Linked DNA regions of Oryzias latipes. The protein of the gene in region 4 interacts with the protein of the main gene of each other region in a pairwise test. Links are inferred from orthologs where the notes say so. Each region holds a gene or a part of one and is shown on either strand. Other genes may lie near its edges.

Evidence for each region.
Region 1: the proteins of vps52 (region 4) and tstd2 interact in binary tests that used the Homo sapiens proteins (3 or more experiments, as listed by UniProt). The two-hybrid records come from large-scale screens. The link is inferred for Oryzias latipes from reciprocal best matches to the Homo sapiens genes VPS52 and TSTD2.
Region 2: the proteins of vps52 (region 4) and rab4a interact in binary tests that used the Homo sapiens proteins (3 or more experiments, as listed by UniProt). The two-hybrid records come from large-scale screens. The link is inferred for Oryzias latipes from reciprocal best matches to the Homo sapiens genes VPS52 and RAB4A.
Region 3: the proteins of vps52 (region 4) and c11h1orf109 interact in binary tests that used the Homo sapiens proteins (3 or more experiments, as listed by UniProt). The two-hybrid records come from large-scale screens. The link is inferred for Oryzias latipes from reciprocal best matches to the Homo sapiens genes VPS52 and AIRIM.

What each region holds. Positions count from the first base shown.
Region 1 is NC_019868.2:27,743,522-27,750,403, forward strand, and holds the end of tstd2 (thiosulfate sulfurtransferase/rhodanese-like domain-containing protein 2), read right to left. Parts: coding exon 6,814-6,882; intron 6,747-6,813; coding exon 6,627-6,746; intron 5,725-6,626; coding exon 5,619-5,724; intron 5,538-5,618; coding exon 5,422-5,537; intron 3,672-5,421; coding exon 3,513-3,671; intron 3,442-3,512; coding exon 3,303-3,441; intron 3,232-3,302; coding exon 3,008-3,231; 3' UTR 2,789-3,007; downstream 1-2,788. Other genes in the region: protein transport protein Sec24B, read right to left, coding at 1,246-1,339.
Region 2 is NC_019861.2:24,495,987-24,503,652, reverse strand, and holds rab4a (ras-related protein Rab-4A), read right to left. Parts: upstream 4,627-7,666; 5' UTR 4,493-4,626; coding exon 4,477-4,492; intron 3,866-4,476; coding exon 3,785-3,865; intron 2,937-3,784; coding exon 2,822-2,936; intron 2,635-2,821; coding exon 2,572-2,634; intron 2,493-2,571; coding exon 2,338-2,492; intron 2,172-2,337; coding exon 2,076-2,171; intron 1,860-2,075; coding exon 1,744-1,859; 3' UTR 1,715-1,743; intron 1,183-1,714; 3' UTR 1,170-1,182; downstream 1-1,169. Other genes in the region: phf10 (PHD finger protein 10), read left to right, coding at 4,997-5,071, 6,429-6,538, 6,647-6,777, 6,897-6,980, 7,076-7,200, 7,292-7,441, 7,543-7,652. UniProt on the Homo sapiens protein: The small GTPases Rab are key regulators of intracellular membrane trafficking, from the formation of transport vesicles to their fusion with membranes.
Region 3 is NC_019869.2:20,074,268-20,082,097, forward strand, and holds c11h1orf109 (uncharacterized protein C1orf109 homolog), read right to left. Parts: upstream 4,339-7,830; 5' UTR 3,920-4,338; coding exon 3,642-3,919; intron 2,410-3,641; coding exon 2,230-2,409; intron 1,770-2,229; coding exon 1,651-1,769; intron 1,578-1,650; coding exon 1,537-1,577; 3' UTR 1,307-1,536; downstream 1-1,306. Other genes in the region: claudin-4-like, read left to right, coding at 617-1,306; cdca8 (borealin), read left to right, coding at 4,836-4,926, 6,294-6,422, 6,504-6,544, 6,616-6,694, 6,776-6,843, 6,925-7,007, 7,083-7,181, 7,370-7,499 and 2 more. UniProt on the Homo sapiens protein: Part of the 55LCC heterohexameric ATPase complex which is chromatin-associated and promotes replisome proteostasis to maintain replication fork progression and genome stability.
Region 4 is NC_019869.2:3,214,627-3,221,494, forward strand, and holds the end of vps52 (vacuolar protein sorting-associated protein 52 homolog), read right to left. Parts: coding exon 6,828-6,868; intron 6,650-6,827; coding exon 6,584-6,649; intron 6,372-6,583; coding exon 6,260-6,371; intron 4,099-6,259; coding exon 3,980-4,098; intron 2,613-3,979; coding exon 2,466-2,612; 3' UTR 2,154-2,465; downstream 1-2,153. Other genes in the region: uncharacterized protein LOC101166061, read left to right, coding at 459-503, 870-952. UniProt on the Homo sapiens protein: Acts as a component of the GARP complex that is involved in retrograde transport from early and late endosomes to the trans-Golgi network (TGN).

The DNA.
Region 1 (6,882 bases), on a different chromosome or scaffold from region 4:
AGAGAAGTATGTGAGAGTAGTTCAGGACATGTATGAGAGAAGTATGACGGTGGTGAGATGTGCTGTAGGTCAGACAGAGGAGTTCAAGGTGGAGGTGGGATTACACCAAGGATCAGCTTTGAGTCCTTTTTTGTTTGCTATGCTGATGGACAGGCTGACAGACGAGGTAAGACAGGAATCTCCCTGGACAATGATGTTTGCGGATGACATTGTAATTTGCAGTGAGAGTAGAGAGCAGGTGGAGGAACAGCTAGAGAGGTGGAGGTTTGCTCTGGAAAGAAGAGGCATGAAGGTCAGTCGTAGTAAGACAGAATACATGTGTCTGAACGAGAGGGATCAAGGTAGAAGCGTTAGGTTACAGGGGGCTGAGGTGAAGAAGGTGCAGGAGTTTAAGTACTTGGGGTCAACAGTTCAGTGTGATGGGGAGTGTGGAAAAGAGGTGAAGAGGCGAGTGCAGGCAGGTTGGAGCGGTTGGAGGAAAGTGTCAGGAGTGTTGTGTGACAGAAAAGTGCCAGCAAGACTCAAAGGAAAGGTGTACAAGACAGTGGTGAGACCAGCTCTGCTCTATGGGTTAGAGACAGTAGCAGTGAGACAGAGACAAGAGGCTGAGATGGAGGTAGCAGAGATGAAGATGTTGAGGTTCTCCTTAGGAGTGACCAGGTTAGACAGGATAAGGAACGAGTACATCAGAGGGACGGCTCATGTTGCCTGTGTTAGCGACAAAGTCAGAGAAGCCAGACTGAGATGGTTTGGACATGTTCAGAGGAGGGATAGTGGATATATTGGTAGAAGGATGTTGGAGATGGAGCTGCCTGGCAGGAGGGCAAGAGGACGGCCAAAGAGGAGATACATGGATGTCTTAACAGAGGACATGAAGTTGGCTAATGTTAGGGTAGAAGATGTCCATGATAGAGTGAGGTGGAAAAGGATGATTCGCTGTGGCGACCCCTGATGGGAAAAGCCGAAAGAGAAAGATCAAATGCGCAATCTGGCTTGCTAACTCCTGCTAGCTTGTGTTAGCCCCTGATCCCTTTGGGTTAGCTTAAGCCACAGTTAGCATCCGGTTAGCATAAACTCCCCACTTCCCTCCAGTTTGCTAGCCGTGTGTAGATAATGTTACCAGGGCAACAGAGCAGCTTAAGGAATATAATTTAAAAATATTAACCAGTGACAATCAACTTCCAGGTGAACATGCTAACCCCCCAGCGGGCAGGCAGAAGCGCACCATGATCCGGCCTGTCTCACCGTTATGGAAGGGGGGCGCCGCTCCGCCGTTCGCCGGAGAGTTCTGGCCGAAGCTGGCGGAGCTGCTCCGGTTGGTGTATCCGGGCGCAGACATGCTCCCGTGCCTATGCCCTCACGGGGGAGGACGCGCACATCTGCGGCCAAACGCTTGTCCGTCACCGCCGAGTCCAAACTGCGGCAAAAGAGGCTGCAGGTGGCCCGCGAAGACCCGGGCAGCCTGGCCAGGTCCGCTCGGCTGAGCTGAAGCCTCCAGTCGGGATGTTGAAGGAGCTTAGCTGTCAGTGGGCTCCGGAATTGGCGCTCCCTCTAGTGGACATGACGTGTAACTGCAAAGCTCCTCGCGCGAATCACTGAGGTGCGTTCAGGTACTGTGGGAACGATCGCAAGACACACAAACAAATACATTCACCTAAGTTTAAAGTAGATCAATAAAACTTTAAACAATAATTAAATTAACATTTAATTAGTCCTATATTAATGTATTTTTAATAAAACTTTAAAAAATAAATACAATAACATAAACACATTTCTAGTCCTATCCTTATGTATATTGTTTTTAATCATAGATATTGTTTGTCTTTATTATTCCTATTTTTCTTTTGCGGTGCATTTTATTCTTGGAATGTCGTCTGCAAGTTCTGCTCTGTTCACTGTTGGTCTCAACATGAAACAACACCCTCTTTTCAAATAGATGCTTTTAGTAAACAGACTTTATTAATATTTTTGCTGATAATGATTTATTTGAAAGAACAAAAACAAACCCCAAAACTTCCATTTCTTTGTTCAAAATGAAATTTGCTTTCTAGCCATTTTCTTACATTTCCCCCTCAAATCCAGGAGAGTCCAAACATCAGTTATGGAGCAACTGCACTTTAACCTTAAAGGAGCTGATAAAAAACAAAACAATGCTCCTGTCTGTTTCGGGGGTCAGACCCCCTCATTCACTGTAAAACCTGTGGCAACATGATTCATTCAATCAGTCCGACTGTTACAACACGAAGATTTCCAAAAATAATTCTTACGACATTTTGAAACGGAGGATACAAAACAACCAAAACCAAAGTTTCGTTAACCTTTGACCTCAGGAAGAGGCCGGCATCTTGAATTTTCCACCTTCTACAGATTTGAACTCCTCCAAGGGATTTCGATCGATTGGCTTCTAACTCCTCGAGCATCACTGGGAAGCTACTTGGTTTTAAAAGTTGTCGGCCTTTTCTTGCGTAGCGCACTCACAAAAGAGGTGTTTCCCTGTTGCTTGCACATTTTTCCACTGAAATATTTTAAAAGATTTGTTATAATGATCATCGGCTCAAGCTGGACAAAACAACATGACATACAATATGAATGCGTCTAGGTGACATCTTTGAAATTGAGTCATAGACAGAAAATCCAGAGACAATTTTTTATATTTTTTTACCATCAATTAAAATTTTGTCTGGAAATCCTTCACAATCTCCTTCATTCACCTCATTAGAGCAGAAACGTGTTTCCATCTTTTTTTAATCCCCTTTGCAGTAAATTACTACCACACTTCCACGCAGCATTTATGGTTGTTTTTATGGCTTTTATTGTGTAAAGCAACATTACAGATGGATGCTTTTAATGTGAAAGTGCTTTTCACAATAGCCACAGGTTCAAATGCACAAAATGCTTTTTTTCTTTCTCATAGGAGTTGATAAAAGGTTAAAAACATTTACTTTGACAGAAAAATAATATTTGACAGCTGATAAATAGAATTTAGATCAAAGTCAAATGACTGAGGTCAGACATCTTGGGGAATTCTGGGTCGTCTCTCGGTGCACTCGCACTCTTCTTTGTGATGCGGGCCGTTGGCGCCGCCCTGAGCGCGTCCTTTGGCCTGGCAGGTGGAGCAGCAGGCGGTGTGACCCTGCCGTCTGCAGGCGGGGCAGGACAGCACCAGCTGGCAGCAGAAGCGGGTGCTGCAGAGCTCGTACCGGTCCCACGGGCGTCCGCAGAAGCTGCAGTCTGAACACAAGCGCCGGTTGAGCCGCGAACGTTTGGCCCCGCCCCCTGAAAAGTCCCCCTCACACACAGACCTGAGATGACGTCGTCGTTGGAGGAGATGGCGTAGCGCTCGTCGAACACGAACAGCTTCCCGCGGTAGAACCCTTCGGGGAACCGTTCCAGATATTTGTGGATTCCACCTTTCAGCTGGTAGACCTCCCTGCACACATCCTGCAGAGAGCGCAGAGCTGAGCGCTGACATGTTTCCATGGAAACGCAGGAAGAAAAAGAACAGAGCTCACCTTTGAGCGCAGGTACGCCGAGGCGCGCTCGCAGCGTATCCCTCCTGTGCAGTACATCAGAACCTTCTTGTCTCTGAAGAGTTCCAGGTTCTGGTCGACGTAGTCGGGGAAATAGCTGAACTTGCGGATGTTTGGAGCCAAACATCGAGTGAATTGTCCCTGCAAGGAAAAGAAAACCCCAAAAGTTCGGTTCATGAGTCTGTAGTTCGGTGGCCCAGCAGCTCAAAAGACATTAAAAAAAAATCAACAGCAAAACAAATTAGGGATCACAACAACGAACTATTTAGATTTTAGAGACTAAATGAAATAAAAAGGAAAAGTATCGGAAAACAAGAGGAACTTCCAGAAATAAAAAAACAAAATAAAGAAACTGAACAAGGTAGGTATCATGGGATATCACTGATTGGATGAGGACGTTTGTTCACCTTTTCAACAGAAAGTTATTTGGCGTGGTGATATAAATGTAAATATATGTTAACAAAAGAACAGTGTTTTACATTTTTCAGAAAGAAATGATTCCATATGTAAATAGTTTTGAATCCTGTACAAACAAAAAACCTGTTAGAACAGTTGAAACACAGTCATTTTTTTAGACTTTAGCAGAATCCTTTACCTAATTTATTTTTGATTATTATTTTCTGGTTTTTTTTTGCTATTATTATGGCTTTTTTGAGATTTTTGTTCATTTTCATTGTCAAATGCGAAAATGTTATTTAGTGTGGAGTGACAATGTTTGATATTTTGTATGTGCAATATTTGTTAATAAAGTTTATTGGAAAAAAAAATCTTCCTAGAAACGATACTTCTGTAAGCTTCTGGCCACGCCCACTAGAATAGTTCAGTGATTGATCGATCCACTCTTGACCACAGCGAGGGTCCACCGTCAGTCAGCAGGAAAAAGGTTGCTTTGCTTAGAAGCTGTTTTATTCTTTTTTTAATGGATAAAAAGAAATTATTTGTTCTTATAAAAAAGAAAAATCCCCCCCCCCTTAAAAAAAACCCATAACCAAATGAATTTGACACAAAGCGGACTAAACCATTCTAAAAAAACCTTCCTGGTTAACACTCTGGACAAATCCACACAATAAACAAGCAGGGAAGGAGGGAAACAAACATTTAACCTTTTTATTATTCATTTATGACTTTAACTGAAAATAAAGCAAATATTGACCATAATCTACCACATAGTTTAACATAAACCAAATAATCCCTTAAAAACAAACAAAGTGATGTCCCTTATGACAGACTTGGCACCCCTCTGCAGTGGTTCGCCCCAATTTTCTGCCTGTTAGTTTATTGTGTCACAACTCAGCATAAGGAAATGAACTGTTTTTCACTTAAAAACAAAAACTAGATGTGGGCACCCGTTATCACGTGTTGTTGTTTTGATTGTGTATGTTGTAAAAAAAAAGAAAAGGAAAAAAAAGCACGCATAGTTGGCAGCGAGTGGTTCATCCACCAAAACCACAACCCTCTGCTTTCCCTCTTCCTTAAAACTCAGAGGTCATCATCCAATCAGTGATATCCCATAATACCTACCTTTTCTTTAACATGTCAACTCCTTACTGAGGTTTAGCTCCGTCTGTTTAGTTTAGTTTAGCATTACCTATGGAACTCTATGACTGATTTCATATTTACTTTACAAATGCCGGGATGAAGCCCATTGAGACGACTACGGTTGTAATACTGGTTTATATAAATAACATTGAATTAAGTTTTGATTCATGGAAATTACTTTTGTTTTCTGGAACTTTTTATGTTTTTTTTGGAATTGTGTTTTGTAAAACGTTTTGACTTGATTTTGCAGGATCTGACATGTATTGCAGCATTTTCTCAAACTGTTAAAAACCTACAACCCTGATTTACTCAGAAGTTACAAAAAAAAAAACAGACGGAAAATGCAACTCACTATTTTGCTCTCGTAAAAGTTACGGCAGTCCAGAAGAAGGGTGTCGTTAGAGGAATCCCCTTCCCCTAAAAGAGCCTCCACTTCTTTGTGGAAGTCCTCCGGATCCAGATGAAGTCCTGAGAAAGCAAAGAGATGGAGAGTTTTACACTTTTTTATGTTACAGCAGCAGCAGCAGCATCCGTGAAGAGGACCTTCACCTGCCAGCTGGTAGGAAACCACATCCGGATCGACTCCCATCGGAACGATTTCCTGGTAAACGCCGACCTTCAGTTCTGGAAAACACTCGGCACCGCCGTCACTGATCTCAACGCACAAAACCAGGAAATACATTTAAAAAACATGAATGGAACCAGTTTGAAGGTTGTTTCTGATTAACCAACATGTTTAGGATTCATTTTTGTTCACAAACATGTCATCATTTTGAGCCATTTCCATTTATCTGGATGTATTTCTATCTCATGAACGCCTCCAAGCTCTCAGGTGTTGGTGCCGTTTGCCCAGCAGAACCTAGGTAGAACCCCACAGAGGTGACGCGTACCCCACAAACCCAATGTCCCCTTTTGACTCAAAGTTTACATACTAGGATCATTTTGTTCATTAATCTGCACTTGGACAGGTGAAGTATAAATATCTCTGACAACAAGATTATGGATTATGATGACTATGATGACAGTAGAGACAGAATTCTATACATTGGCTTCCTCCCACTCTTTTTCCAACACATAAAAGTCCTTTTGACAAACGTAATATTTAACGGATTTAAAATATGTCTGAGAGTAATAAAAATGGCATCATTTACACGTGTATGTATTTATATATGGAAGTGTATATAAATCTATATATATCTGTGTGGATTTCTTCATCTTTACTTTTTAATATTTTCATTTTCCGATCAATTCATGACAGTTTATCCCAAGTTTTATAAATATACATATAGATATTTTTGCTTAAGAGAAACTAATTTCAATGTGGTTTGTAGCTATGCATAATTTTAAGATAATTTAATTCTTTTTTTTTACACTTCATTGTTTTCTTACTACAGATCGGTTTCTTTAAATGGAAAACAGTTCTTTTTTTTTTTTTAAATGTGTTCTTTTTGCTGTTTGGTTCCATCAACAATCATACAACCGTTTAAAAAGTCTATTTGTAGTCCAGTGTCTTAATCCTGATGTAGCCACAGATGAAAAGCATCTCAGAAACTTTACCTTAAAATCTTCTCGGTCCATCTGGAAGAGGGGGTGTGACATCATGGCCCTGGTGTAGAGATCCGTGGCCACGGCGGTTCCACCAACCGTCCCGTTGATTCCTTCTGCCGCCACCCTCACCTGCAGAGAGCTTCCACTTCAGAACAGAGCTTCTCCTCGTGGATCCTACGGAGGAGTTTGTGGTCACCTTCCCCGTTAACTGCAGCCTCTCACACAGAGCTTTCTGCCAGGCGCAGATGACGTGCGGATCCTCCAC
Region 2 (7,666 bases), on a different chromosome or scaffold from region 4:
ACACAAACACAAGACGACAACCTCACGTGACACAAACTATGCTGCTCTCAGATACACCTCTGGAGGCATTTCGCATTGAAAAATGTCTGTTTCCTTTGAAATGTCTGCACCTGCAACAGTTTAGTGTACGAGTTGTAAAGTGATATAATCTCCAAAGTAAAATTCTTTGTTTTTGACCAGATTTGACAAAACAAAACGCACAACTGATAAATCTCATGATACAACTCTTAGTCTCTCTACAGCTGACAGCATTCTGTCCCCTCATGGACTCTATTTTTTTTCTTTTTTTCTGATAAAGCAATGCGTTACTGCCAAATTCATGAAAATACAAAGTTCTAGCACAGCTTTCCTGTGAGGCACAGCTCCACATTTTAATGAGCAGAGCTGAAAACCTATTTAATTGACACCTTAATATCTCTTTATATAATGAAACACTCTGATAATTTGCTTGAAAAGCATGCATCGGTCACAGCAGCACTGTACAACATTCTGCAGGGAGAAGAGGAAGTGGATGAGGACTATAAACAAATTAGGGTTAGCTTAGCTGATGAAATGTGCTTCCATAGCTGCACAGTGTGGAGTGAGAAGCTTCACTTGGGTAAAGAAGAGCAGGTGCGCGATAAACAAGGAGTGCTATTAGTTGGGAAAAAAATGGAATTTTAGTAATTTGGGTGATTTATTTCATGCTTAAAAATAGGGAGATTATCTTTTATTTAATGAACTTTGCACCAAACCATAGCAAGTGCTAGTAGTGTCAAAAGTATGTGTTTGAAAACTGTCAACTTTTTATTTTAATTGAACTACCTTGAATTGAACTACCTTTACTTTAAATATGATTGACAGGAACCGTCTTTATGAATAGATAGAGGAAAGTCTAACAGGCTTGGAGAGCAGGTGACAAGCAGGGAGCTACGTCTGAGGAGAAACCTTCTCGCCACAGAGCCAGAGAGATTTTGGTCCAGCTTTAAATTATGTTTCTGTTTTTGAAGATGAGTGTGGTCTTCTGGGTTCCTTAGCTGGGGGCGGGGTCTTCACAGCTCTCCGCACATGCAAAAATGACAACAGATGCTCTGAAGGGTCCGTGCAAAAGTTGGAGGAAGGTGGAGTAACCGGCACGGCAAGCCCCCCGCATCTGCATTCGTGGAGGTTCTATGTGGCTGCTCTTCTTCTGGTCTTCACAAACTTGTTTCCAAAAACAAAACAAAATCAAACGTGGAGAAAAAGACACACAAACATACTATAGTAAATAGCATTGCAGGAAGAATTACACTGAGGTGCATCAACACTTTTTGCAAAGTTGATATTCAACATAACCTACAACTATTGTTTCAGAAAAACAAACTGCAGACTAACTGTAACTGGTTGCCTAAATCCAAGTTCATGTCAATAAATGGTCCGATCCATTTTTTTTCTCTGAATACAGCTCTGTACTGATCCAGTAGATAACAGCTGTCAATGAAAACATAGTGCAGATTTTAATACTGTTTTAGGATTTGATATACATAGTAAGATAAATGTCATCAGTCCTGGTTTTCTTGCATAAATTTCATCCTAATATTTATCTATTTTCTCTGACTGTGTAATTCTGTGCTATACTGAGCACAACTGTCATAACCACAGGAGGCGATCGGCTCCCTTTCCGTACCTGAAAATTAACTCCAAAAAAAATGTCAGAGGTCCGAGACACTCTGGGATCCCACAGCAACACGTTTACCTTCAAAGGGCTATGTAACAGGACGTCCACTAGCAGCCACATTCCTGGGTGCCCTGCGGCTGAGCACGGCGAGGAGAACGAAGCTGGCGTAACGCAGCGTCCCCATATTGGATTCCTGACCCCATCCTCTCTGGATCTAGCTCTCCTAAGAGTAGAGAAATGGTGCTGATTAATAGAGATAAAGAGAAAACAACCTACAGAGGTTTCATCCCCACTACAGACTTTTGGACCAGCTGGTCCAACACTCCAGACTAGCTCACTGAAGCCCTGAGCTCCACCTGAGCTTGGACTATCCCATTAGGATAAGAAGGGATTTGGAAATTGTGTTTAACAAATGTGGGCAAAGATTAGAACTCCTCACCTGACTCTATTTTATTCAGGATTTTCCGGGCACACTGGACAAAGGCTTCTTCAACATTCTCTCCTGTGAGAGCGCTGGTCTCCAGGAACATTAACTCTGCCACAAACACAGAGTAAGGATGAGAGCAGCCGCTATGAAAACCGCTGATGATTATTCCACACTAATGGCCAGTCAGTGCTAAACAGTAAACCATTGAGTAATTACGTATAATGAAAGTTAACTGTATAGTTTTTAGCTAAGGATTATAAACTTAAGATCGAACCATTTTCCTGAGCGAAGCGTGACGCCTCCAGAAACGTGACCTCTCTGTCAGCATCTAGATCCTTTTTGTTCCCACACAGGATAATTACAATGTTTTGACTGGCCAGCATCCTAGCATCACTTAACCACGTGGTTAAGGCGTTGTAGGTTTCTCGACTGAAGCCACAAAAACAACAAAACAAATGGTTAAGCAGTCAAAGTATACATAATAAAAGAATAACGCACCTCGTCTTACCTGGTGATATCATAGACCAGCAAAGCTCCTGCTGCTCCTCTGTAGTAGCTCCTGGTGACGGACCTGACAAACATATACTGGTTAAAGGGAACATTGTTGACACTTAAGCAAATGCATACCAAATCCATTTAGTAATTATTGCCAATTTAAGACAGAAATGGAAAAAAAAAAGTTGTAGCTGTGCACCGCCGACATCTCTAAAAACGCAACATCCACAATGTAGAAGGAATTTTTAAAGATGTTTAGCTACCTGAAACGTTCTTGACCTGCAGTGTCCCAAATCTGAAGTTTGACCATTTTGTTCACCACACTAATAATCTTGGAGCCAAACTCCACTCCAATTGTGTGGTTGGACTCATCTTTGACTGGAAAATCATAAATATCACATGTAAGTCATATATTTTCAACACCTTAAAATGACCTACTGTTTACAAAAATAAAATGCCCTTTTTTAATCTGATAAAGATTGTGACTGCTTTGCTAAAATCTGTTTAAAAAATAAGAGTCAAACTAAAAATATTCATCAAGATTTGCTTAAAGTCCCACTCCGATCATCTTTTGAACTATTGTAAAAGCGTTTTCAGTAGTTTTTAAATAATGTTTATGCTGTTTTAGCCAAAATTGAAAAAAGCAAACAAACTCTTGTTGTGTTGGACATAGTATCTGCAGAGCGGCAGTAGGTTATTAAAAAATGAATCTTTGAGTTGTGGACGGGACTGGGACCTTTCCCATCTTCCTTTTGTTTACACTCCTCTAGCTTACAGCCCCTCACACCCCCTCAACATTAGTGGTGCAACAAAAATGGCGAGCAATATTAGAGCTATTCAGCTGTACAGTTTTAAGCTAGATGTTAGCTCACACGAGGAAAATGAAGACGTTCATGGATCTATTTGTTTACAAGTGGATGCATCGGATTGAAGCGGAGCAGGGAGCTTGTAGCTCGCCATAGTAGCTTCTATGTCACATCTACAAGCAACTGGTCCTGAATCACAGTGATTTGAATAAAGAAATACTCAGAGATGCAATTTTAGGCTTAATTTTTACATAAATGTCCATTATAATGAGAACAAAATGTCACAAAAATATGTTAAAAACACACAAATAACGACTGTCTTTGAGTGGGACCTTAAAGATATTTAAATAAAAGAGTCGGGCAATTACTGTGTCATTATTATAAAGCTTTTTCTAGTGATTACAACTGAAGCAAACTTACATCTCTTTTCTATGAACTGGTGCAGAAGGCAGGATTTGCCTGTTCCAGCATTTCCAATCACTAGGAATTTAAACAGAAAGTCTGCAGAGGGAACACAGTAGTAACATAGATAAAGCAAACAGGGTTTGAATATGCTGCCTTGTTATTAATAAACTCAACTATTCTTAATTTTTTTTTGATACAGTTGTTGACATGTACACATCTGATGTCTACACTATACAAATCAAGACAAATGTGTCGTAAACAGATCGAACAAAGCCTTATATATATATATTTATTCTTTACTCCCACTAAGATAATTATCATGTTTAATGTTGGTTCAATTGATTGAACAGTTGTAGCATAGTGTAATTTGAGCAATGCCTCACAAAACACAGAGATATCCTATCATCACTTGCGTTTGCAAAAGAAAAGCGGGAGTCTCTTGCTTTGTGTCCTAGTGCTTATCCCGGGAACAATAGCATCTCCTATAGTCACAGCTTCTTGCATTATAAAGCTTTACTAATACACCTGTACCCGGAAGGCAGATTTATTAACGCTGACATTTGAGTTTAAAGGCCAAAACCTTCCTACTCCTCAGTGGCTCGGTTAGCCTGCCAGCTAGCTATTTGTTTACGAAGGGACCTCATCATCCCTTTCCTGCCATCTGTGTGTGAGATTCTAACGGGTATAAAGCAAGACAGCCTCCTTACCGTAAGACTCCGACATCCTCGGTGTGTCAGCTAAGCTGCAAGGCAGAGAAAGGCGAAACTGTTATTTGTTTAGCTTGCTAAGTGATGGAAATAGTCCTGTTGGTGATTTCCTTGGATTCTATGATTTCCTCCTCCAACTTCCTGTACGGTGTGTGTGGGTTTTTTTTCTTCAAAATAAAAGCATTCTGAAATGACACTTATGCCACATAGTCCTCAAACTACCGCGTGGGGGTGATGTTTGGATATGTTCTTATGGTTTCAATTAATGAAAAATAAATTCTCGCCGTTCTAAGTAAATTTTAAAAACAGCCCATTTCGCTGAGAGTTTTATCTATATGTAAATTAATTGGTTTGCATGTTGTGTACAAATTCTCTCTTTTTAACATATTTTTTGGAGGATCTAGGAGGTGGCGCTCTGAATTTACACAAACGTCAACCGAGTCCGTGGTTGTCCAAAGAAGAAGAAACGTAGTTTCCCCCGCTAATCATTAGCCTAGCTGTGGGCATTATTTATCTTAAAATGGCTACATTATTCCCTATTATTAGACCACCAAGTGATAGCAGTCCCGCTACTCCTGGGGCGCACTCCATGAAGGTGATTTTTTTCTACTTTGATAAATATCCATTAGCTGTTGTTTACGGGGAAACATGACGATGTTTTGCTAACAGATAGCTAGCTAGCCAACGGACGTTTCCATTCACTAGGACAACTGTCAGCCACTTTTAGCAAAATCATTTGTTTTCAAATGTGCTCAAATTACTTCCTCTTGAAGTAATTTGCTCCTATTATTCGTGTATTTCTCTATTAGTTTGCAACGTTGAAAAAATATATAAATAAAAAAAAACTAGATTGTGTAGCCATTTAAATATAAAGTGTTGCTAATTTTTTCCCTGTGTAATCCTAGTCAAACTAGTTTTGCACATGTTCCCATTTTCACAATAATACGGAGCCCCTAAAGGGCCATTGATGAAAAAAAAAAAAACTTGAGGAAATTTTTTTTTTTTGAAGTAAAAAAAAATTCTTTGAGCTAAAAATTTTTTTTTTGAAGTAAATAGGAAAAAAAACTAACTGGTGCGCACCAGTTAGTTTCAGGTGCGCACCAGTTAGTATCAGGTGCGCACCAGTTAGTTTCAGGTGCGCACCAGTTAGTATCAGAAGATATCAGATAGTTGACCTGCTTGCTCATTGTGCACCAAGTAGCTACAGTTGTCTTGAGAATGGCTAAAGTTGAGGATATGGACCTTATAAACTTTCTGAAAACACGAAATATTACTGACAATGTCATAATGTCACCTGAAACTAATTGGTGCGCAGCTGAAACTAACTGGTGGGCACCTGATACTAACTGGTGCGCACCTGAAACTAACTGGTGGGCACCTGATACTAACTGGTGCGCACCTGAAACTAACTGGTGCGCACCTGAAACTAACTGGTGCGCACCTGATACTAACTGGTGCGCACCTGATACTAACTGGTGCGCACCTGAAACTAACTGGTGCGCACCTGATACTAACTGGTGCGCACCTGATACTAACTGGTGCGCACCTGATACTAACTGGTGCGCACCTGATACTAACTGGTGCGCACCTGATACTAACTGGTGCGCACCTGATACTAACTGGTGCGCACCTGAAACTAACTGGTGCGCACCTGATACTAACTGGTGTGCACCTGAAACTAACTAACTGGTGCGCACCAGTTAGTTTCAGGTGGGCACCAGTTAGTTTTTTTTTTCCTATTTACTTCAAAAAAAATTTTTTTTACTCCAAAAGAATTTTTTTTACTCCAAGAGAATTTTTTTTTACTTCAAAAAAAAAATTTTTTCCTCCATTTTTTTTTTTTCATCAATGGCCCTTTAGGGGCTCCGTACAATAAGCTTTTCGATTCTATATATTTTGGTGTTCATCTGTTTGAAAAAAAATGTTGGTGAATCTTTTTTCCACTTCTGTAGGAAGATGTAATTGATGAGGTATCTAATGATGGGAGCCAGCCACCGAAAAGGAGGAGAATGGGTTCAGGGGACAGCTCTCGGAGCTGTGACACCTTCAGCCAAGAGCTTGGGTAGGCTACTTGTTTTTGCATTACAATTTGCCATTATTCTTAAGTAATTGCGTCAGATACCAACTTATAAATCTAATGTGTTGTTCCTGCCCCCACCTCCTCATCTAGGGTGACTTATTTCCCAGCAGAAAACCTAATAGAGTATAAATGGCCTCCTGATGATACAGGAGAATATTACATGCTGCAAGAACAAATCAGCGAGTATTTGGGTGTCACGTCATTCAAACGCAAATATCCTGGTAAGAATTGAACAATAATTCACAAAATGATCAGGAAAGGAAATGTTTAAGTGCGGTTGATTTAGCAACTGCCCAAATTATGTTTTGACCAGGGAATTTTTTTTAACATTCTTGTGCAGATATGGAGAGGAGAGACCTGTCTCACAAAGAAAAGCTCTACCTACGTGAGCAAAATGTTATCACTGAGACGCAGTGCACCCTGGGTACGAGCCAACCCTAAAACTCTTTGTTAATGCACAGACTTCATACATTTATTTATATTTCTTACATAATGTAGTGCTGTTGTATTTATATGCAGGATTGACAGCTTTGCGGAGCGATGAAGTGATCGACTTGATGATAAAGGAGTATCCAACCAAACACTCTGAGTACTCTGTGATATTGCAGGAAAAGGAGCGTCAGAGAATAGCTAAGGAGTACTCTGTAAGAACACCAGACTAGAACAACCTTTAGTTTTTATTAGAAATTGTCGAAACGCACGAACAAATAGTTGTACTCTCTTGTGCTTTTGCAGCAAATGCAGCAGCAGAACCCTCAGAAAGTGGAGGCAAGCAAGGTTCCTGAGTACATAAAGAAAGCTGCAAAAAAAGCTGCTGAGTTTAACAGCATCTTCAACAGGGAGCGAATGGAAGAGAGGAGAGCTTACTTTGACCTCCAGACTCACGTAAGTCTAATGGCAGATGGTTTAATAAATCTGCATCAGTGCAACGTTGGTTGAGCTTTTGACTGATGCAACTCCTTTTTGTCCTCTGCTTTTTGTCTCAGGTTATTCAGGTGCCCCAGGGAAGGTTCAAAGTTCTTGCTCCAGAACTAACCAGAACAGGACCCTACCCTGTTGCTCTTATCCCAGGTCAATTCCAAGATTACTATAAAAGGTACGTTCCATAAC
Region 3 (7,830 bases), about 17 Mb from region 4:
TGCCCCCTCCATCCTTTGTTTTCACAGGTTCACCAGCGGCTGCTGCAGACGGCATTGATGCAGATTCTCTCTGTTCCCAGCTCCGACCTCATGGCTCTGACCCGCTGCCGACTCCACCACCAGAACCGACCCTCTTCAAACATCTGAGGTGGCTTCGCTACCGTGAGGGGAGGTGGGGGGGGCACTTCATTGGTTTGGTTGGGATTGGCGCCACTGGATGCTACTCAAAACGCTGGACTGTGACGGGATACGGTGGCAGCCTTCTATATCAGGTTCTGCCAGCCTGATCTAGAAAGAAAACACCAAAACTGCAGAGTGACAGAGCCGAGCAGCGCCACAGCGGTCCAGATCAGAGCCACGGGCCTTCCTATGAGACCCCCGCAGCGGCTGCTCAGCCTCTCAATAATGCATCACGAGGAGAAAGTTCCTTTAACGTTCTTTTGAAAGTGCTGAACGGTGGACAGAGCGACGGATGCCGAGTAGAAGAAAAAGACGAGATGAACGCTAACGCCACGAGTTTGTAGGACACAAACGGCGCCGAGAAAAATACAGCGATAAACCCACAAGCTTCAGGTAGGAGAACTTCAAAGGAGAAGATCCAGGCGGCGCCCTCACCATGGTGAACACGGGCATGCAACTGATCAGCTTCACCTGCGCCGTGACCGGATGGATCATGGCGATCGCCGTCACAGCGCTGCCACAGTGGAAGGTGTCGGCCTTCATCGGCAACAACATCCTGACCTCGGAGATCAAGTGGGAGGGCATCTGGATGAACTGCATCTACCAGACCACGGGTCACATGCAATGCAAAACATACGACTCCATGCTGGCGCTGCCGCCAGACATCCAGGCGGCGCGGGCCCTCATGTGCCTCGCCATCTTCATGGGCTGGCTGTCTTGCACAGTGTCCTGCTGCGGCATGAAGTGCACCACCTGCGCCGGCGATGACCGCCGTGCCAAGGCAGGCATTGCGCTGGCGGGCGGCATCCTCTTCATCGTCACAGGCCTTTGCGTTCTGATCCCCATTTCCTGGACTGCCAACACGGTGGTGCGGGATTTCTACAACCCCAATGTCCCCATCATGCACAAGCGAGAGCTGGGCCAGGCCATCTACCTGGGCTGGGCCGCCGCCGTCATCCTGATAATCAGCGGCGCCGTGCTGAGCAGCACCTGCCCACTTATGGAGCGGGGCGGTCGGTACCGCAGGGGCTACATGGGACGGAGCTTTGCCAACTCCCCCGCCTCCGCTCCCGATCCTCCCAAACCCATCACCTCCAGCAGCCTCCCCATGAGGGAGTACGTGTAGCAGGAGGATCCCCGCCAGGTGTGACTTTGGGCGCCGCTGCGCTGTGATTGGCTGCAGTTGTCCTCTCTGACGTGTGTGGTGTTGCAACTGCAGTGAACCCGACTGTGTTCAGTAGACAATAAAGACGATTTGATGAAGTGTCTTCAAATCCCTCGTCTTCCTCTCCGTGTCTGCATCATTGACTTCTGTCCTGCTCAGAAGGTTCTGGTTCCAGTTCTGCTCCTCCGTCTTCACTCCAGCTCCAGGAAAAATGACACTCTGCAAAGTGTTTCTGCAGGAGACAAGAGTCCCACATCTCAGAGTTGGCGGAGCTCGCGTTTCAAGCTTCGGACAGTTAATGTTACCTGTGATTCGCTGCTCGCCGTCAGGAGACTCCAGGGACTTCCACCTCTCAGGAAGGGATTCCAGCAGAGCGAGGTCGTTGGGTCTGAGCGTTTGCAGCAGAACTTTCCTCTGCAGGAATCTGAACATGAGCTCAGGAGAGCAGAAGACAGAAACAAAAAAACAGACTGCTGGCTCTACCATTCCCCGCCCTCGCCGCCAACTTTTGTTTTGCCCTGGAGGGCATGATCATAATCATAATTTTAAAGTTTTCTATGGATATCCTCCGTTTTGGCTTTGATTGAAGGATTTGAAATATATTTTTTGAACCCCATTAGAGATCTTTGCCCCATTCATTTTTGTGATGGTTTCTCCCACTGGAATGTTTATTTTATTTTATTTGTTAGTTTGTTTGTTTGTGTGTGTAGGGGGTGGACTATGTCAAGCCTTCCTATGCAGCGGGTACCGGGTCTGTGCAGATCTTGGTAAATATTTTAGCATTTGCCGTTTCGCTCTCAGAAAAAAAGAATTGCAAAAACAATCCGGTCCTTGCCGTCCATGAATGCTGCGGACCGTACCAACAGCACAGACAGGAAGGATACTGCTGCCTGTAGTGGCGCTCGGCGTCCTGAAGCCACTCCAGCATGTCTGCGACTGACGGGGTGACGGCGGAGCGCTCTGTGACGGCCTGCAGGTCCAAACTGGTGGCGTTCTGCTCATACAGCTGCATGACGGACCTCACCTGGTTACTGATGGCGTCTCTGGCAGACTGCAGACGACACCTGAGAAGGAAAGGAGTCTGTCTTAGTCCTCGGACAAGGAAGCCCTTGAAGACTGATAAAAATCATGTTTTTATCTGTTTTGACAAGTTTTTGCGGCCTTTTTCTGATGATCGAGGACATACATAAAGAAAAGTATGCTTAAAATTGGCAATCTGAAAATGTCTTTATTCAAATTGCTGTGAATGAGGAGCAGAAGAAAAAACCATGATGTCCCTGAATGCATCAGCACTGTCTCTGCTATGGACACACCTGGCATATGACACGGTATAACGGGGTGGGATTATATACGTTCGCTTCCTTCCACTCCCTTTCAAGCAATATTTATTAATATGTCTAAATATCCTAAGTTTGATTCGTCATTGTATGAATGTATAACTGATGATTGTATTGTTGTTGTGTATTGTTCTTATTTGATTGGTTGAAATAAACCATTTAAAAAAAAAAAGAAAAAAAAAGACACGCGTTCCAGAACATGTTAACCCATAGTGTTCACACAGTGCTAGTGGGTTGGGGCTTCTCCTTCTTCTACAATTGACCATGACTTGTCTTCCACCTACAGTTGGCAGAGTCTTGGTGCGAAATGTCAAAGTGGTGCAAATCTCTTGTATATCTGACTCCAGGCTTTTTCTTTTCGCATCTCTAGTCCAATATATGAAAGATTTAGTGTCATATATTCCGACTGGAATCAAATCAAAATCATTAATTTGTCCTCCATGGTCAACTTTCAAACGGTTGGTGTTTCCGTAAATTTAAAGGGGTGCCATCCATGCGTCACTACCAAATCTGAGTCCCTAATTGGTCAAAGTTCGACCTGGTTTAACTTTTAAGGTACATTTAATAGATGCACTTTTTGTACATACAGAGCTCAGAAATTATCGTAGAAACTTCAAGAGTTTAAACCAAAATGCAAATTTACATTTTTTTTATTGGTGGTTTCTTGAACGCGCATCGCTGAGGGCGGTGTGAACGTAGCTTAATGATGGTTCTAGTTTCTGGTAAAGGTCTTATGTGGCTTATTTTGATTTGGGGTTTTATCTTTAATATTTTCTTTAAACGGAAATTGTAATATATGGTTTGGTGCTAGTATCTGTACTACAGGAGCTCTTATTTTGAAACAAACTTTTTTTATGCTGTCACAAAAAACAGAGCTAATAGTCTTTTCAACGTCACAGGAGTCCCTGTGATGACGTCATCCGAGAGGCGCGTGTGTGTGGAGTTGTCGCGTGTCTCACATCTTCTCGTTGAGTTTCTCCAGCACCGTGTCCGCGGCCTCCTGCAGTTTGAAGCGCAGCCGCTCCTCCAGCTTCGGGAAGGTTCCGAGCGGCGTGCTGGAGACCCGCACGTTAGAGAGAGCTCTCATCTGCTCCGCTAGGTTCCCCAGAGACCCCAGGAGAGGGCTGCACTCCGCTAGCTCGCTCCCCCACAGCCGCTGGTTGCTCTCCAGCGCGGCGAAGCTGTTCCTGAACGCCTGGTGGAGGGCGCTGAGCGTCGGTCGGGAGATGTCAGACATGCCCTCGGCCTCCGCTCTGGCTTGGATGGGACTGTAAATATAGTTCTGACCAAGTCTGAAAGCCTCAGCAAAATTCTGCACTACTTTTCTGCGCAGAACCAGAAAGCGCTTCCGGTGTCAAGTAGTGACATATGCTGCCTTTACTGATCCTTGGAGATACGGTGCCCCATAAATACAGTAGCTCCTCAAAAAAGGCACTTGATTTCGGAAAATTGTATTTTTTCGTGCTCTCCTTTTTAAATCTACATACACACATACATACATTTTATTGATATATTTTCCCACTGGTTTTGTTAATGCTTCTGGACTTTTTGAGAACTTTTTTTTATATTTATAATCACAGGCATGTCTGTAGGAAGTTGCTATTTATCTTGGTTAAATTGGGTAAATTGTAATTGTGAGTTAAAAAAACTTTTTACTTGGTGACTATTTTTAGTATTTCCTGCCCTTCAGCTGTTTTACAAAAATGCTTTTTTTGATTCTTACTGAAACGCTTTCCATCAGGGGACGATTCATTTTTTCCCGAGTTGTCTTCGAACGCAGCATTGAACATTCGCAGTGCCGAACCCTGATGACGGGGCTCAATCCACGTCCTGATTGGCTGGATTTGTGTCTTGGCTCCGCCTCGCGCGGACATTTGAAAACGACTTCGCGAAGAAGGCAGGCCAGAGGGAAACCCACACAACTGTTACCTTTGTAAGAAAACCCGCTTCAAACTCAGACGAATTGAATCTAAAAACATTTATATCATAAGTGAGACCAAAGAATGAAAACGGGAGTAAATTAATCTGCCGGATAAACTCCTGCCGATTCCAAAGCTAACAACATAGCTGCTAACGTCCTCGGCGGCTTATTTTTTTCCATCTCGAAAACAACGTTTCACAGTTTTCTCCTGTTTGTGAAGTTCTGAGCGGACATGGCGCCCAGGAAAAGGACCACGAAGCAGCGAAAGAACAACCAGAAAATTGAAAAACTGGAAGTTTTTTTGGAGGATTTCGACAGCGAAGGTAAACGACAATGCTAGTTCGGCTTAAGTAAAGGCTCGGCCTACAGTTTGTTGTCTGAAATAAAGTGTTCTGAAACCCAACAAACCGAACCTGTTCAACCTTTGTCAGTAACAGCTGAAAGAGCTGACCAGGTTGGGGATATATATATATATATATATATATATATATATATATATATATATATATATATATATATATATATATATATATATATATATATATGCCAGCTCTTACCAGCTAATTCAGAATTGACAAAGCCTCTTGGATAAGGGGTGAAACATCTTCTAACTTTAAAAACTAAGTCTAGATGACAGCCCCTAAACCTACTACTATGATGGAATCAACCTGGATGAATGAGTCTTCAAGACAATCCAAAGAAAACAAAAAATAACTTCATTTAGCTGTTATAATTTGTTATTATCATTTGGAAATTGCAGGTTTTTTTTCATGAAAGACCCTACAAGAGTTCCTCTCCTTATATGTGCAATTTCATGCACTAATAAAAAAATGTGCTCAAAAACTAGTTAGAATTTGTTTGTAAATTTACTGATCGCTTATTTCCTGTTTGTGTTTTTTGTTTTGTTGCTAAAAAGATAATTATACGTAAAAAAGGAAGTTCTGCTCCTTCGAAATGATGCAATAAACCGGATCATAAAGAAGTGGATGGAAAAAGTGCTATAAAAAAACAATCTAAATTTTGATATCAAAACTCATTAAATATGCATCTTTTAAAGCTTAGCATTTTTTAATAGCTTGAAAAAATTAAATACGAAGAAATGCTATTTAAGCCTTATTTCTTTACTTATGTCCTCCATCATCAGAAAAATGAACATGTTAAATACGCCCTTTTCATCAGAATGGATCTTCCACATATAATTTTTTTTCTAGTAAAATTTCATTTGTCAAAAACATCAACAAATTCCACTTATATAACACTTGAGGCAAATGAAAACTATCAATATATACTCGTATCACGTAACATTAAAATGTTAAACTTATCAATGTTAGTCCATTTATTAAACAGTTTTTCATTTATTTCTCATAATTATCACAGATTAGGCTTGCATTACAGTACACATTAATTAATATACAATTTAAAGATGGATTTTAGCTTTTCTTTGGCCTTTTTCCTGCTCCTTCATTGATTCAGGCCCATATCATGACTCTGCCACCACCTTGCTCAGAGCACTTCCTTATTTGGAAATGGCGGGCATCGAGAAACAATGGTTGCTTTTGTCAGCTGAATTGATTTGATTGGTTAGCAGGATGGAGCTCGCCTGAGCTCTTAAACCCAGCGAATCAAACCCTGCAGGAGTTTGAATCAAAAGCCAAGAATGAAAACATAAACTTGGTTGTTTCTGTCTCAGTGAATACCAGAGTCGTTCAGATGAAGGAAAAGATCAACCACCTTCTGAAGGACATCGACAACAGCTACAACATGGCTCTGATCAAGCTGCCCATGGCCGTGCGGCAGATGAAGTGGATGGACTTCTACAGTAGGTCCACGCCCTTTGACCTCTAAGCGAAAAGTGATGCGAGTTTCAGATCTTCTCACCTGTTATACTGTGTCTCTGCAGAAATGGAGAAACCCAAGACTCCAGAGGTGGACAGCGTCAGGGTGAGTCTCTTCTCCTTCTGCTGTCAATCAGCTCCTTTCTGTCGCTCACTGGAACTCTGCCTCCTTCGCAGCAGAGAGAAGAGGAAGCCGCCGTGGTCGAGAGCGTGGTGGCCAAGGACCACGCCAATCTACCGAAGTCTGTGAAGAAAAGTACGTAGAGAGCAGCATTTTCAAAACAAAAGCCAAACCGAAACCTTCCTCACTGATTTGTCTGTGTTTGGTTCACGCTAGCCACGAGAAAGAAAGGCGGAGCCAAGTCCAGCTTTGAGGACGAAAACACGCCAAGCACAACCAGGAAGGTAAAGTCTGCTGTCACTTTTAACGCCAAGAGAACGCTGCTGCTCGACACGGGAAGTTCACACTCCTCCTGTGTGATTTAGGGGAGAGCCGCGAAGAAGCCCCCGACCACGTCAAAGAGGGCAAAGGCGCTGACTGTCAGCAAGCAGAGCACCACCATCCGGCGGTGAGTCCCAGATCCCTGCTCTGAAGCTCCTCCTCCTCTCTGTGGAGGCTGACGGCCTTTGTTTGGATCGCTCAGGTCCAGCAGGAAGCCTTTGGTCACTCCCGCTAGGAGCATGCTGGACTCATCGCTCCTGATGGGAGCCACGCCCCTCATCACCCCCAGCTTTGACCCAAGGTGAGTTTGTTGTAATCAAATTACATTTTGTCTCTCACAAAAAGAAAAGATAATCTGTTTTTCAGTGATTTATCATTTCAAGTTTGAAGACAAAATAACAGAATTACACTAACAGAAACTTGGCGGCCTATTTAAGGAAGCTATCTTTGGGGTTAAACTCCATATCCCATGATGCATTGTTTTCTCAGACTCCCCCAGACTCCTGCAGTTAGAGTTCCTCGCCACAAGGAGAGAGTCTACAGCATTTCCGTTAACGGCTCCCCCATCGCGGCTGGAAACGAGGACATCGTCATTAACGTTCCCATCGGCAACGGCGAGGTAAGCCCCCCTGCTTCCACCCTCCCCCCTCCTTCCAGAAGGAATCCAGATGAGGTTTGATGCCTGAACTGCTGCTTCTGCAGAGCATCCAGCTGCTCGCCAGTCAGATGGACTCGGTGGATCTGTCTCTGCTGGACGACACGGCGCTGAGGAGCATCCGCCTGCTGCAGGTACCCCCCACCCCCACCCACCAGCTTCTTCATCATCCCCACATCCACCTCACCCTTGTCTGTCCTCCTGGCAGAACCGCCTCACCAACCTGTGCGGGACAGCGCCGTGATGCGGACCGTATGCATCCGCGTGGTTTATTGAAGACCACATCTTTCATTTT
Region 4 (6,868 bases):
ACCCAGGTCAAACACTGTTTCAGCTGTAGATAGATACTTTATTCATCCCTGAAGGGACATTTTAAAACATTACTGTTGGTTTGTGGCCCCATTTGGCTGCTTTTACCAACCCCCTATATGACCAATGATTCAAATTTCAGGAACTATTGACATGTCCGCCCATTTAACCCTTCCCTTTAACTGTAGACGACTAATTTCTGAAGCCCCTGCCCCGTTTCCTCAACGTTCCTGCTCCATAGAGTTACATCGTCTGCAAAGTTTGCATCTTCGACCCTTATGAAGTCTGAATCTGTCAAACCGTCATAGTTTTTGATGACACAAGTTTGGTAGAAAACATTATGAACGACTAAAATCTCTGCTAAACTAAGACGTTTTCATCTAGGAATGCGTACAAACATTGAATTAAAAAAATTCAGGCATTTAAAAAAATTAAGTGGTTCTTTTTTTTGCCCCTACAGACATAGAACACGACAAACTACGAATGTCACAAACTTCACAAACAGGTGAGAAATCATTTGAGAAGCACTTTTAACATTTGAAATTAAAAGATGTGAGGGAAAGAAAACAGAAGAGTTTAAATTTCTATTTACCAGTTATTTTAAGAAAATTGATGTGAAAAAACATGTTAATATGGTTTGTGAAAATCCATTTTATAAGTTTTGAATGCAATTATTTTAAAATGGTTTTGAATATCATGTATCTCAAGATGTAATCAGATTAAAAGGAGATGCCATAATTTAATCTACATTTATCTGCACACCTATTGGAAATAAAATAAAAAAAACGGCAATTGAAGAAAACATTTATGCAGATCTAATTGCTTGTTTTAAGGTTTCAAGCCTGTTTTTTTTCTTTTCTTCCTTTCCAAGGTGGGACCGCTCAAAGCAGCAGCTCGCGTGTTTTCGTCTCCGCTGTTCTCTTCTTCACTGTTCAGATTCTTCATCTTGTTTGAGGCTCATTTCATACATCTTGTTACCAAAACTGCAAGTGTAAATAAAGATGTGTTGAGGTTAAGAAGCTGGTCTTTTTAGAAGAGGCGTAGACGGTCACTAGTACAGGTTGGGACAAATTGTTAAAAATTTGACTATTTTGATTTTCAAGGCTCTTTTTCTATCTTTTAATCACAAAAAATTGTAAATCTGTATAAAAACTTCTAGTTTAATTAAAAAAAGATCACCAGATAGTACACTATTTTCAACACCCAGTAATTAGTTGAGAGAAATTGTAAATTATATAAATAAGGGAACTTGATCCAAACACTAAAAGGGTAAATCAATATTTTTTTGTGGCAAATCAGAATCATTTATTGTCATTTCCACAGCTTTTACACTGACATAAGAGATTGTTCGATATGATGATGTAAAAGATTTGCAAATCATTTATAAATCATCAGATGATCCAGAGGATTTTAGACTCTCAATTAGGAAAAGACATTAACTTTAAAAATTCTAATAAATGAGGGTTTCTCCGAATGAACATGTAAAACTTGTTTATATCTTGTGTAAAAAATAACATTTTCAATCAAGGGGTTTTAATTTTTAATGCATTTATTTTATTTTCATGTGTGTGTGGTAGCATATGACATTTGATTTTGTGATTCCTGAAGCTATTCCCTTCTGCTGTGCTTCAAACGCAAAGATGACGGCGCTTAAATTAAGTCGAACGACCGGCTGAATTTCCTCTGAACTGAGCAGAACCAGAACGTTTTTAAGAAACTCGTTTGATTGATTTTCCTGGATGTCAACCAAGTATTTATCGACATAATGAACAAGAATTGATGGAAGTTCTTAACAAGACTAAACCGGATCATTGTGAGTCCCAGATAAAAGCCAGAACTTCACTGTAGGACTGTTAAAAATGAGTTCTTTTGAGTGTTCCTGTAAAGAATTAAATGATTTTTTAGAAACGTCATGGTAACAAATCTGAACATCTGACTGAGTTAAAAAAACAAAAACAAAAACCTAAAGTTTACTGAAAATAATGATAAATGTAACTGGAAACAGGCACTTTAATGAGCATTAATAAGCTTTAACTGATATTTTTGTTTTATAAAAAACAATAAACCTGATTTTTGCATTTAAAATTGTCTCTTTTACTGAATAGACAACAAAAACTTTTTAAAATATTCTTAGTCCAAATAAAACTAAACGTGATGCCTTCATTTCTGCTTTTTATTGTTTTCACCTCAACAGATTCTTGGTGCACATGAGAAAGTCCTGGTGGCGATACACAAACATCATAAATGACACACATGGACAAATGAGAAAACACAAGCTGCATTATGAACAAACACATCAGCAGCGTAGAAAACAAGGATTGCATCAGAAGGAATAGATTGAATGCTTTACTAAAGCATTAAAAAAAACAGTTAAGGAGACTCGCCAATAATCTCACAAATCCCAAACACGAAGACGGCTCCTTTAGGCTCAACATGTGGACGAGGGTTTCCGTCTGATGGAGAAGAGCTAAAAGTTGGGCTTGTGCTTCTTCACCTCCACCATCAGGTGGTGCAGGTTGATGAGCTCCGATCGGACGGCCAGGCTGCGGAACGTGGGCTGGTTCAGGACCTTGTGGAAACCGTGGTAGTACTGGATCAGCTGAGTGAGAGCGCCCTGCAGGGGAAGACGAAGAGCGAGATGTTTTTTCCCAAACGGGGCTCTATTTTGAGGTTTTCTCTTTCTAGAGGACACCATGACGGGGTTATTATCGGTTTTCTATCATTTGTGTTTCTGTTTTTTTGCAATTAGACATTGACTTGGAGACAGTGCCAAGCAAAACCAGGCGCCGCTCGTCACTAAGCCGATACTGTCCCTACAGAGAAGCATGGTGGCGGCAGCATCATGCTGAGGGGATGTTTTTCAGCAGCAGGAACTGGAGAACTAGTCAGGACAGAGGAAAAGATAACTGCAGCAATGAAGGGACATTCTGGATGAATACATGCTTCAAAGTGCTCTTGGTTCGAACACTGTGGCGTTTTATTATTTTAAATGAATTTGATCCATTTTGGAAAAAGGCGTAACGTTAAATTGTGGGGAAAAGTCAAGAGCTGTGAATGTTATGTCATTTCATTTTATAGTTTGAAGGGACAGAAACTTCTCTTTCTTTGAACTTTTTCCGGATGATTTGAACTTTTGAAGGTGAACTAAAATGAATGTGTTTTTTTTCATTTAAACATATTTAAATATCTCTGCATCATTTTTTTTTCATACAAATAGGTTAATTTAGATTATTTTATGTCTAGTAAACATCATTTTACATGAAAGTACCCACAGACTCACATTCTGGTTTTAAAGGTGACGATAAAAACACCAAATCCTACCAGGAAGGTTTTAGGAAAGTGGAGTTTCATTTCCTCAAAGTCTTTTAAAGAACACTTCTCAAAACGCAGGCTAAACGTGACAGGATCTGTGGCGCCCCCTGGGTTAGGAACCGTTCTCCGTCACCCACCCCAAACAAAACCAGAACAGAGATTTGAAAATCCCACGTGACGATGAGGAGAATTGATTCGATTAGGACAAACCCACATGAATCAGATGCTGCATTTGGTACAGAACAGGACAACATGAGGGAGGATAGAAGTTATCGGGGATTTTGGGATGCAGACTCAATCAACTTCTTTAAAAATGTTGCATGATTGGTCCGAGTGGTTTCCATGGCAATCCCTCTCACCAAGGGAGCTTGATGGAACCATTGAAAACAAGGGAAATCAGTTTTGAACGCTGGACACACCGTCATCGAAGCTTCTGATTGGTCGTTTATTTACTTGAATTTGGACGAAAAAACAAGATAAGCTATTTTAAAAAAAGTAGCAGAGCAAGAACGGTTAGTCTGACAAATAGAGTAAAAGCTGTTTATTTCTCTATAGAAGTCTATGGGATCAGCGCCAAAGGGGGAGGGGTCCCTCAGTCCGGTTCATGATCTCAACGCAATCAGGAGGTCAGTCGAGGTGTTTTAGTGCCACACCTGGCCGCTGGCTCACCTGTATGATGCTGGTTCCGTTTTTGAAGTTGGTGAAGGACCTCATGACGTCTTGACTCATGGACTCCACCGACTGCTTCCACGTACTTGAGAAGCCGCGGACCAGCTGGGTGATTCGAGCTGCAGACACACGTTCAAAGTCACTGTGGTGTGTGTGGTTTCACACGCGCTTAGAGCGGAAAAAAACGACTGTCCAGAGACAAGAAAGAAGAGGCAGCAGGCGGAGAACGAGACACAAGAGGAAGGAAATGAAAGTTATGAGGAGACGATTCAGCAGAGCAAACTAAACTATGAGTGGACGGTTACTCCGTAAAACAAAACTGAACCTGTAAATGAAAGTGACACAAGCCGAGGATCGGCCACAGAAGTGGATATGAAATGCGCTCAGGCCACAATCAATAATAAATATGGGGACATTTTAAACGGACCAAAAACAGAGTTCAGTGTTCTGTTCCCAGATTAAAAGCCAAACCTTTAAACACACTAAAGGGCAAATTCCAAAAGAAATGATTTCCCCAATGACTACAATATGTTTAAAAAAGACACTTTAAATAAAAAAACAAATCATATGTATCTTTATTTTCATAAGGAAAACTTTTATCAGTAGTTTTTCCTTTTCTTAGAGCTGAAATTCCCACGTTTTTTCATTTTTCATGAACCTTTTTGCGTGAGCAGAGTTCAAAAACCTTTTCCCACAGTCATCATCATCATCATCATCATCATCATCATCATCATCATCATCATCATCATCATCATCATCATCAATGCCAAACACATGAAGACATGGTCTTCCATACGTGCGCTTAGCTCACACAGACTAATGCCTGTGCTGCCCGGATTTCCCATCATCCCTCTGTTGACACGTGTGCCTAAGGCTTCACACAACTGAACTGCTGAGGACCACAAAGTGAAGATGAACTCTGTCAGAAAAGCTGTGCATGCTCAGAGCGGTCACATGTGCTAAATAAAGGTATGAATGGTTGCCGACTGATCATTTCCTGACCTCAAATAGACCAGTCACCCTTTTTTGTGGCAAACTGGAGGTTGAGGATTCTTATCTACACACCACAATGCTGGCAGTGAGACAAGCCGCTCGCTCATTAGTGTGTTTTGACATCCAGATGCAGCCTAAGAAGCTTCAGCACGTCACCAAGAAGCAGAAACAGTGGATCTACACGGAGATCCCAAAGGTCGTCCTATCTGCAGACCATCCACCCGCTCCACCTCTGGTAGCTTGATGCTTTTTCTTTTTACATAAACTGCTACAAAAAAAAAGAAAAAGCTGTGGAAATGAGATGAAAATGGATCGATATGAAATTTGACTCGGAGTAAACAAATTGTGTGAAAAGAGACGCCGTCTTTTACGGAAACTTTCATTCTGGGTGCAGTGTGCCTGATCCGGCGTGGGATCAGGCCTCTGATCTGCATAGCTGCTCCCCCACAAGGAACAAAATACAGATGCTTGTTGCACAACCCGAGCTGTAACCCCATGACCTTCAGCAGTCACTTGCTAGTTTTTGACTAAACCCTCCACTGTGGGCTGCAAGATTCCCTTTTCCGTGTGTATATTTATTAATATTTACCAGTTTGCTTTGAAACAAAAACTTCCCCTTTATGCTAAACAGCATCGGTGCCCCCCCCTCTTCTATCATTACAGACAACAGTGCTGCTCTCTGTATTTACTGATGAATGATGGTTCTTAGTCTCCAATCTTTGTATTACTTTCCACAAATTAATGTACTTTTTCAACTTTGCTAATTAGTTGTTTTAATTTTCTTTGACCAAATTGTTTTTGCAGTAAAATGCTGCAATTCTTCAACTGACCACTAGAGGCAGATCTGAGCAAGGAGCAATTTCCCATTGAGTCCCATGTTAAAATGTTAACCTTTGTATCAAGAAAACAAAAACTAATGTTTAACTTGGTGTAAAAAAACTTCTTACATACTTTAGTGTTTTTTGTCATTGCTTTATCTTTTCTTTCATTTACAGGTAAGATTTCAGATTTCAGTTAGGCGGGGTTATGTTTGTTATTTTCGCCTTGGTTCACCCTGAAGCCTTTTAAAGTTATCTTTGTTTGGTATTTATTCTTTTGTTAGTAAATCTGTTATTTTTGTACGGAAACAATCTTTTGGTGTTATTAATGTAATTCGGGGCAAACACTTGCCTTTAATGTTGTGCTCCTACCTCCCCCTAGCCATCAAATGGGGCATAACCGAAGGTAGCTTCCTGCATGTGTAATTTAATCAAGCTTCTTGCCTGAGGTCTTCCTCTGTTTCCTCACCTTCCTCGTTCTTCAGACGGTCCAGCTGCCCTTTTTCCATCAGTGCCTCCGCCTCCTTGACGAAGGCGATCATCCCACCAAAGGGAGGAGACAGGATCTCCTCAATGAACTCCTGGAGGAGGATATTAGTAACGAAGAATTCGGTAAACTGTCTAATTTAAAATCTACAGTGGATTTCAAATTTGTTATCAACAATAACATAGAAATTACACAATAAGTGAAATAGTTTATTCAATGGCTGTGTCTATACAAACGTTTTGACACCATTAAAACATTAGATTTCGTTTAACTTAAGGTTTTTTGATTGAACCAACAACCACAGACCTGTGTTCTGGCCAGGAGCAGCTGCTGGAAACCTTCAACCTCTTTGCTGTCGTCTGCTGCCCTCTCCTGGCCAAGCCAAGCCATAACAACAAATGATTATGAAATTCAAAAATTAAAAAGTTGCTGTCGAATTTAGATTTACAGATGAGTTTCTGGAGATAAGCTGAGGTCTGAGATGTCACACAGAAACACATAAATCATTCTCATGTTTGTTCCTTTTTCCATATCTGCCGTAACATCTCACCATTAAGACACTCAGCATCATGTCGTAGTTGTTGATGAGGA